Danio rerio: one gene and its partner. The protein of the gene in region 2 purifies or fractionates together with the protein of the main gene of each other region. This does not show direct contact. Links are inferred from orthologs where the notes say so. Each region holds a gene or a part of one and is shown on either strand. Other genes may lie near its edges. The genes, in order: rpa2 and rad52.

What was found.
Region 1: the proteins of rad52 (region 2) and rpa2 purify together in Homo sapiens (affinity purification with western blotting; 3 studies listed by BioGRID and IntAct, with this or other methods). This does not show direct contact. The link is inferred for Danio rerio from reciprocal best matches to the Homo sapiens genes RAD52 and RPA2.

The regions. Positions count from the first base shown.
Region 1 is NC_133191.1:4,971,645-4,975,576, forward strand, and holds the start of rpa2 (replication protein A 32 kDa subunit), read right to left. Parts: upstream 2,489-3,932; 5' UTR 2,355-2,488; coding exon 2,342-2,354; intron 2,119-2,341; coding exon 2,027-2,118; intron 429-2,026; coding exon 327-428; intron 1-326. Other genes in the region: ube3d (E3 ubiquitin-protein ligase E3D), read left to right, coding at 2,945-3,021. UniProt on the Homo sapiens protein: As part of the heterotrimeric replication protein A complex (RPA/RP-A), binds and stabilizes single-stranded DNA intermediates that form during DNA replication or upon DNA stress.
Region 2 is NC_133200.1:22,346,478-22,350,309, reverse strand, and holds part of rad52 (DNA repair protein RAD52 homolog), read right to left. Parts: intron 3,513-3,832; coding exon 3,445-3,512; intron 3,373-3,444; coding exon 3,254-3,372; intron 115-3,253; coding exon 39-114; intron 1-38. UniProt on the Homo sapiens protein: Involved in double-stranded break repair. Plays a central role in genetic recombination and DNA repair by promoting the annealing of complementary single-stranded DNA and by stimulation of the RAD51 recombinase.

The DNA of each region.
Region 1 (3,932 bases), on a different chromosome or scaffold from region 2:
GGTTTGGAAACGCTTGAGGGAGAGTAAAGAGTGAGGAAATTTTCATTTTTGGATGAACAATCCCTTTAAACTAGGGTGGCAATTCTTTTATTTGTTTTTTTTATTATTGTATATGTAATGTAATAAAAACATCCAAACCACATACAATGCAGCACTTTAAATACAATGTAATAAGAGATGAATCGTGTTTTGAAGTTATGAATTAGATTTTTTATATGTGAATGAATTCTTTTTTATAAATATATTACTTTTGAGACTGATCTGGCTCCATAAAATGGAAACCCTTTCAATAAAAATGTGGATATTTAGTGATTCTTCAGACTGACCTGTGCGATCTCCACCTCTCCCACTTTAAAGACGTCCTCAGCCTGCACCGCCGACAACAGCTGAGATACAGTACAGGGAACGATCTGCTGCGCTCGTGTCCTCTGAACACACACACACACACACACATCACTGTTACACTTTACAGCATCACACATGAAGATCACAATACTACACTGATTTCCCACTGTTTTCATAATCACTTAAACAACACGATAATGACTCAAATAAGTACTGTTAAAATAACAATACTACTCTCTCTACGGTCATTCTAACAGCTACACAAAAGATGTATTAGGCCAAAATAGTGAAAGTCGTATTATTTTTACACAAACAGAATTGTCCCCAAACATATCAATACTGCATTAAAGTTATAAGTTTGTTTGCCTAAATTTAAACAGCGACTTGAAAATTATTGAAATATACTGAAAAAACCTTCTATAAAAGATATGATTTATATACCTTATTAAATATTATTCAGTATTTACACAAGCAAAAACAGACCTAAACATTGAGATGAAAGACAAAGACAATTTTGGCAATGAAAATTAAATACTTCATAAAAGAATTTCTAAATCTTTTATATTTTATTTATTTTTTAAATAACAGAAAATAGCTTAAATGTTTAGCTTAATAGCTTAAACTCAACGTTTAGGCTTGTATTGTATTAAAAAGTGCATTAAATGATAATAAAAAATAGTTTGAGCAAATCTATTGTCTGTTTTAACTTTTTTTACGATGTGTCGCTTTTATTTTAAGCAAAGAAATATAATAATAAACAAAAATAACAACTAATAAATATTTTATTTCAATTTACTTCAAGTTACATAAGATGGCCACTAAATTTAGTTTAGTCTCAAACTCTAAATTTTATACCTGTCATTTGAAATCTTAATATTTATTAACTGTTCTGCAAAACATTTCACTTTACCCATTTGTTAACAAAAAGTTAAATTATAACCAAATTTAGTTTATTAAATTACTCTTTTAACTATATAATCAGGAAGTACATAACAGGTATTTGCTTTTGTTTAATTACACAAAAACTTGTTGAGCTTAATACCAAACAATTTTTTCACACATTTTTTAACATTTCGTTGTCACAAAAATAGTCTGAAACATTGAAGTGAACATTTAACTTGTATTTTTTACTTTTTTTGTCATTTCAAAATGCAGTTTAGAAAGTGCACGATATAGGGATAAGTTAAAAGTGCTATTATAGAAAACTATGGGTAATATTTACAAATATATGTAGTTTAAACAAAATATACTCAAGTCGTATTAACTGCAATTAAATATTTAAACAGAATTAAATATGGTATTGGAGGAATTTAATATGAACCCCACACAATTGAGGTAAGGTGGGTTTAATATTCGCACATTCTCCTTAAAGATAAAACGTCACAAAGTATTTATGCAAATTTTAAATGCTAAAATCATATTATCAGCTAGTGACTATCAAAGTACAGCATTGTTTACAGTCAAATAAATGGTGTTAATGTTGTTTTGAAGTCATGTTTACAAGTGATTTCAGACCAAATATTTAAAGTACCATGGTAAACAATATGAGGAGCATGTCACAAGTTGTCACTGAACGAATGTGCGAATATAAAACCAACTTTACCTCAATATATATATATATATATATATATATATATATATATATATATATATAGGTGTTTAAAGTTATTTATATACTGACCCCCTTTTTGTCTCCTCCTTGAGAAGCGGCTGGTGACCCGAATCCTCCAGGAGACTGTGTGTACCCAGCCATACTGGCCTCTCCGTATTTACCTGCAAAAATATGAATACCATATTTCAATCAAAACGACTTATTGGTTAAAAACCCCGTCCGACTGGCAGTAACGTAAGAGTGCGTTAAAAACAGACCTTGACAACACACCGCTAACCGACATCACACTGACACTGTATAACAGAGCTTTCTGACTCTCATTAGCGGACTAGCAGAGTAAACTCAGCTCTAAAGCCAAAATAAAGTGATTTCTAAAGCACGTACCTTGGTTCCACATTTCACTCGTGAATGTTTTTCTTCTGAATGCGAAGCAGACCGACAAGACACTCGAAAATCTCCCGCCACGACTGATCGCGCACAGTTTGACGTCACGTCTCGAAGTCCGCGCGCTCACAGTACGCGTGCGCGTGTGTCATCTGCCGCGAAAGTCCCACACGTATACTGTAAAAGTCCACAGAAGCTTGTATGTTGTTAAAATTGTTTTTAAATAAAAATAAAGCATAAAAAAATAAATAAAAACAACAAAAAATCTGTAATCTTTCTTCACTGAAATTTACATTAAAACGTTTACGCTCGTTCTCATATGTTTTGGAATAGTTAAAGCATGTAAGCGGGCTAAGCCCAGTCATATATTGTTTATATATTAAAATAAAATAATTATAATAACTGTCCAAATATGTTTGAAAACAGCGTTTTTTAAAATGTTTTTAAAAGTAACGTTAACACTGAACAGATGCAAACTGAATTCTGAAGACTCTTAATATGAAATGACGGTGTCGCAGACAGTTTGTCGTCACGTTGTTTTGTGTGTCGCGTGGGATTTATGAGTAGAATCGATGAATCCATAGCTTCTGTAAAGAAATACCAATGGAAGAGACTGCGAACACAGATGTCCTCTTTATTGAGCTCAGACAGAAGCTGCAAAGCGGCCTTTTGTTCATTCGGTAAAGTTTTTCTCTTCTACTTTGGCTCTCTCATAGTCACTGACTGTCAATGCAGTGTTTCATCAGTGTATGTGAGTGAATTATGTCATGTACAGTTACACTTAGCACCCAGGGATTCAACGGGATTTCTTTTAACGTACTAGGGTAACGTTACAGCTTATTTTGAGTTTATTTACTGGAATAAAAGGTTATACAATTTCAGGAGGCAGACTTTGGGAACACTAAGTTAGAGAGTACTAAAATATAGTCGTTTAAATGTTTATAGCTAGGTTTTAAAATTATTTATATAGTATACTGAATTATATATATTATACTATTGCATACTGTTTTATTTTTTACACTAGCTCTATAAGATAAAACAGTTAGAAATGCCACAATGAAACACTAGATGGCAGTATTGACCAGATAGTTGGACAGCTTATTTAACGCCATGATATTTTCTTTATGAAAAATAACTTTATGACTAACGTTGCTGTTAACTTTAGACCTCTTAAAATCGAAGAAATTGATTTCTAACACATTTCATCCTAAGTCTCTTCATGCACTGTACAATATGCAGGGTTCCACATAATTCCATAGAGGTAAAGCTGGTTTAAATTGAGATATTCAGACATTCTCCTTAATAATATAATTTCAGAAAAGTATTCTTTGCAAATTCTAAATAGGGAAATCATATTAGCACTTTAGCAGCAAATGATTATGAAAGTACAACATTGTTCACAGTGAATTAGACAGTGTTAATATTGTTTAGAAGTCAAACTTGCATGCTAATTCCGATCGAATATTCAAAGTAACATGGTAAACAATATAGAGACTGCTAAATGAACAAATGTGCGAATATAAACTTTGGGAACCACTGAGTTAGACAATCTAATTATAACTTGAGGAGACAAATGCCTCAGCGTTTAATT
Region 2 (3,832 bases):
AAACATTCATGTTTAACCCTTATAAAATGACTTCTTACCTGCTTTGGTATTTTGTTGATGGCGATAAGATACTCCTTGTTCAGAATACAGTTTCCAAGCGCATTTCCAAAACACCTTATTGGTAAATAAAATAAAATGAAATTATATTTCTATATTTCCTGTGATGGCAGTGTTACATTTCCAACATCATTACAAAAATTCTTCAGTGTCACATGATCCTTCAGAAATCATTCAAATATGATGATCTGGCATATAAAAACATTTCTCCGTTCTTATCAATGGCGTAAAAACGTTGTGCGGCTTAATATTTCTATGGAACCTGACCTTTGCTAAAAAACATCAAAGATGTAAAATTCTAATATAGGGTTATAAATACCTTTACTGCTGTTTTTGGTCAACTTCATGCATCATTGCAACATAAAAGCATTATTTTTTAATTCAATTTAATTTAATTTGTGTATCGCCTTTCACAAAAGTTATTTTTTCAAAGCAGCTTTACAAAAGGTTGTAAGAATTGAAATATTACAAATATTTTTGATGTCTTTGACAATTCAAAACATGAGCTGAAGACAGGGCCAATGGACTCCACAACCCACCAGGGGGGAATGCGTGAAAAACCAGTTCCTGCTGCATTTGCATCTGACTATGTTGAAACTCAGCTTCATCCCCCCAACTCACGCATATGGTCATTTCAATGTTTTAGATTAACCAAACTGACTTTAACTATCATGTTTGATATCATTTGAAATGTCTCAGTGCGATTGGTACAATGGTCTCATTCTCTCAGAAATAGATATAATCAACACAATAAATATATAACTTCAGGCATCTTTTGAACCACTGTGAAGGGTGTGACTTTTTACACACACCCCCTTCCTTGAGGGAATTCTTGGATTATTTAAGGCAAGGTTTGAGAAAAACTCAGGGCGATTCTGCCTAACCAGATCAGCCCATAACATGGGGTCTGCCCCATGTTATGTATATTTCAAAGTCAGGTATGCATCTTTTCATCTTGGATTTATCTTTGATAATTTGATGTTTTGTATTGATCATTTATGAATTGACTGATTGAATTGGCATAATACATTTACCTGACTAATAAATTGTTATGTTTTGAATGATTCAAACAGAGTTCGTGTTATTATCTTTAGTAGATTGTGGTAATTTCATAGCACCACAAGCCCCTGTTCAGGTTAGTAGCGGACTAGAACACGGTAGACGGAGCATTGCGGCACGTTACACGATGTCTCTAGAGCTCCGACTAACAAATTGGCATTTATTCATGTATACTTAGGCTGTAAAATGATATCTAAGGGGATAGTCCTTCACCCGATAAACTTTTAATACTATTTAGATAGTATAGTGATTATTCAAAGTTACTACTAGTTTAAGTACGACTGGTCTGCTTAATTCTATAGTAATGATCGTTATATGACTAAATAGCTCTGTCTGATTTAGGAGGTAGCAGACCTATGGGGACCGCATAAAAAATATCCTAATCTGAGTAAGTAGGGTTCTGCCTTTTTAGGATAGCGGTCAATCGCCCCTGTTTAGTGACCAAGACTGACATGCTTGTGCTTAAGAAATTGTATACTCGGCCGGTACAAGATTCAGGATGTTATAGAGATCCCAATGAACGAGAATAACATAAAATGATGAACCGAAGAGAATATTCAATCATAATCTAAATTAATGTGAAAGGAAACAAAATAATCTTCTCAATGTTTTATAATTGGAGTCAGATAAAACGAGGATAAACATATTAATATTCTAAACCATCTCATACTAAAATTGGAGTCAGATATGAGTTAAGTTTAATATAAATCAACATTGTGCACTGGATAGACCGAACATGTAGTGAACCTTCATCCACCATTGGATACCGTCATTGGACCAACTGGCTGGACCCTACAAGGTGCACATTATTGTATTAGCAATTCTTGTCATAAATCATATTGGTTAAAAAAATGTAATCCCTCCATGGGAAATTTAAGTCCCTTTAACTCAAGCCCTTTACTGTCATTCCATATTTTAAGGTCACACTTGAAAAACATGCACAGTTTATATAGTTTATCAATTTAAACTAAATATATTTAATGTACTGAAAAATCTTCCACCCAAACATCTTGGGACACGATTTTCACATCATTATTTGGCAATTAGCAACTCTGTTTGAGTAATGCCGAGTTCAGACTGCATGATTTTCAAGGTAGTCATGTCACAGATGTTTTCACACTGCTTGACTATCTGGGCTAGCGTTTCGTCGCTGCTTTGTTTACACTGCAAGATGGATTGGCGACAGGGACTTTCACATTGCATGACTTTACTATAGGAAGAATTGCCGACAACTACGTCTCACAGCCAAAAACACGTAGTTTATCTTTTGTTATTAACTACATAATGAGAAAGAAGCCTTTAAGGGGGTAGAACATGTACATGTTTGCTCATCTGGGTTTAAAGGGAATTAGCTATTTCTCCTCAACGTTGATGATAAACTAACTTCTTTCTGTATGAACCGTCAAACAGACACAGTTGCTCCTGAGTCCTGTCAAACCTCCACTAGTTTTTCCTCCATTTCGTCGGTCCAAATAAATCGAAAAAAGAGCGCTTTTAACTTCTCCCCCAGCCTCCCGCTGGCCTGCAGCAGGTATACACACATGCACACACAAGTGAAAGCTGCTCTCTCATTGGCTGTAGGAGATCGCTGATGTTATTTTCAGTCAAAACTCAATTCACACGTCATGATTTGAATCACCGACGGCTCCAGATATTTAGCATGCCAAATATCTCACAGGCATCGGCGACTCATCGGCGATTCTCTCAGATCACGTCTTTGATCGTTCATACTGTGTGATTGTCACTCACGTGCACGAGCACAGATTTGCCTGTGATTTCAGGCATTTGTCGGCGATTTCTCAAAACCTGTCGGCGAGCCAAAATCGGGGCTAAAATCATGCAGTCTGAACTAGGCATTAGGTATACACATCAATCAATTGATCACAGTGGTGGGGATCCTCAAACAAAATAAAAAAGCCAACAAAGACATATTTCATAGGGGAAAAAAATCAACAATGATTGTCTGCTTATTAAGATGATAATACAGTTCACAAACATTTATATACTCAAACTAAAATGGTTAATTCACATAGGTAAATAAAACTAGCTAAATACAACTAAAGAAAATCCTATTACTTTAAAAAGAAATGAAAAAATATTTGCCATAGAATGACCAATCGAAATCTGATGTAGTTACTTGAGTGCTCTTTTCAATCCATCTGTGACAGCTTCTTTTCTTGCTTTTTCCAGGGACAGAGCTTTGGATTTGAGGCCTTCGCTAACCCCATATCCTACATCCTCATGAAATGAGCCATCCTATGGAGAAAAACACTGAAGAATTTAGATGCTACTCACAACTCTGTACTTCTGTATTGTCAGAGCTCTTACCTTTAACTGGACCTTAATGAAAGCACTGACTCCAACGTAAAACTTCCCATTGATCAGGTCCACAAAGTCTGGAGGACAAGATCAAACAAGGTTGTGTTGATGCTTGACAGTGTATCATTCAGTCATTCATTTTCTTTTCAGCTTAGTCCCTTTATTAATCCGGGGTCGCCACAACGGAATGAACCGCTAGCTTATCCAGCATGTTTTTATGCAGCGGATGCCCTTCCAGCCGCGAACGCAGCGAGAACATGCAAACTCCACACAGAAACGCCAACTGACCTAGCTGAGGCTCGAACTAGCGACCTTCGTGCTGTGAGGCGACAGCACTACCTACTGCGCCACTGCATCGCCCAGCCATTCATTCATTCTTTCATTTATTCATTTTCCT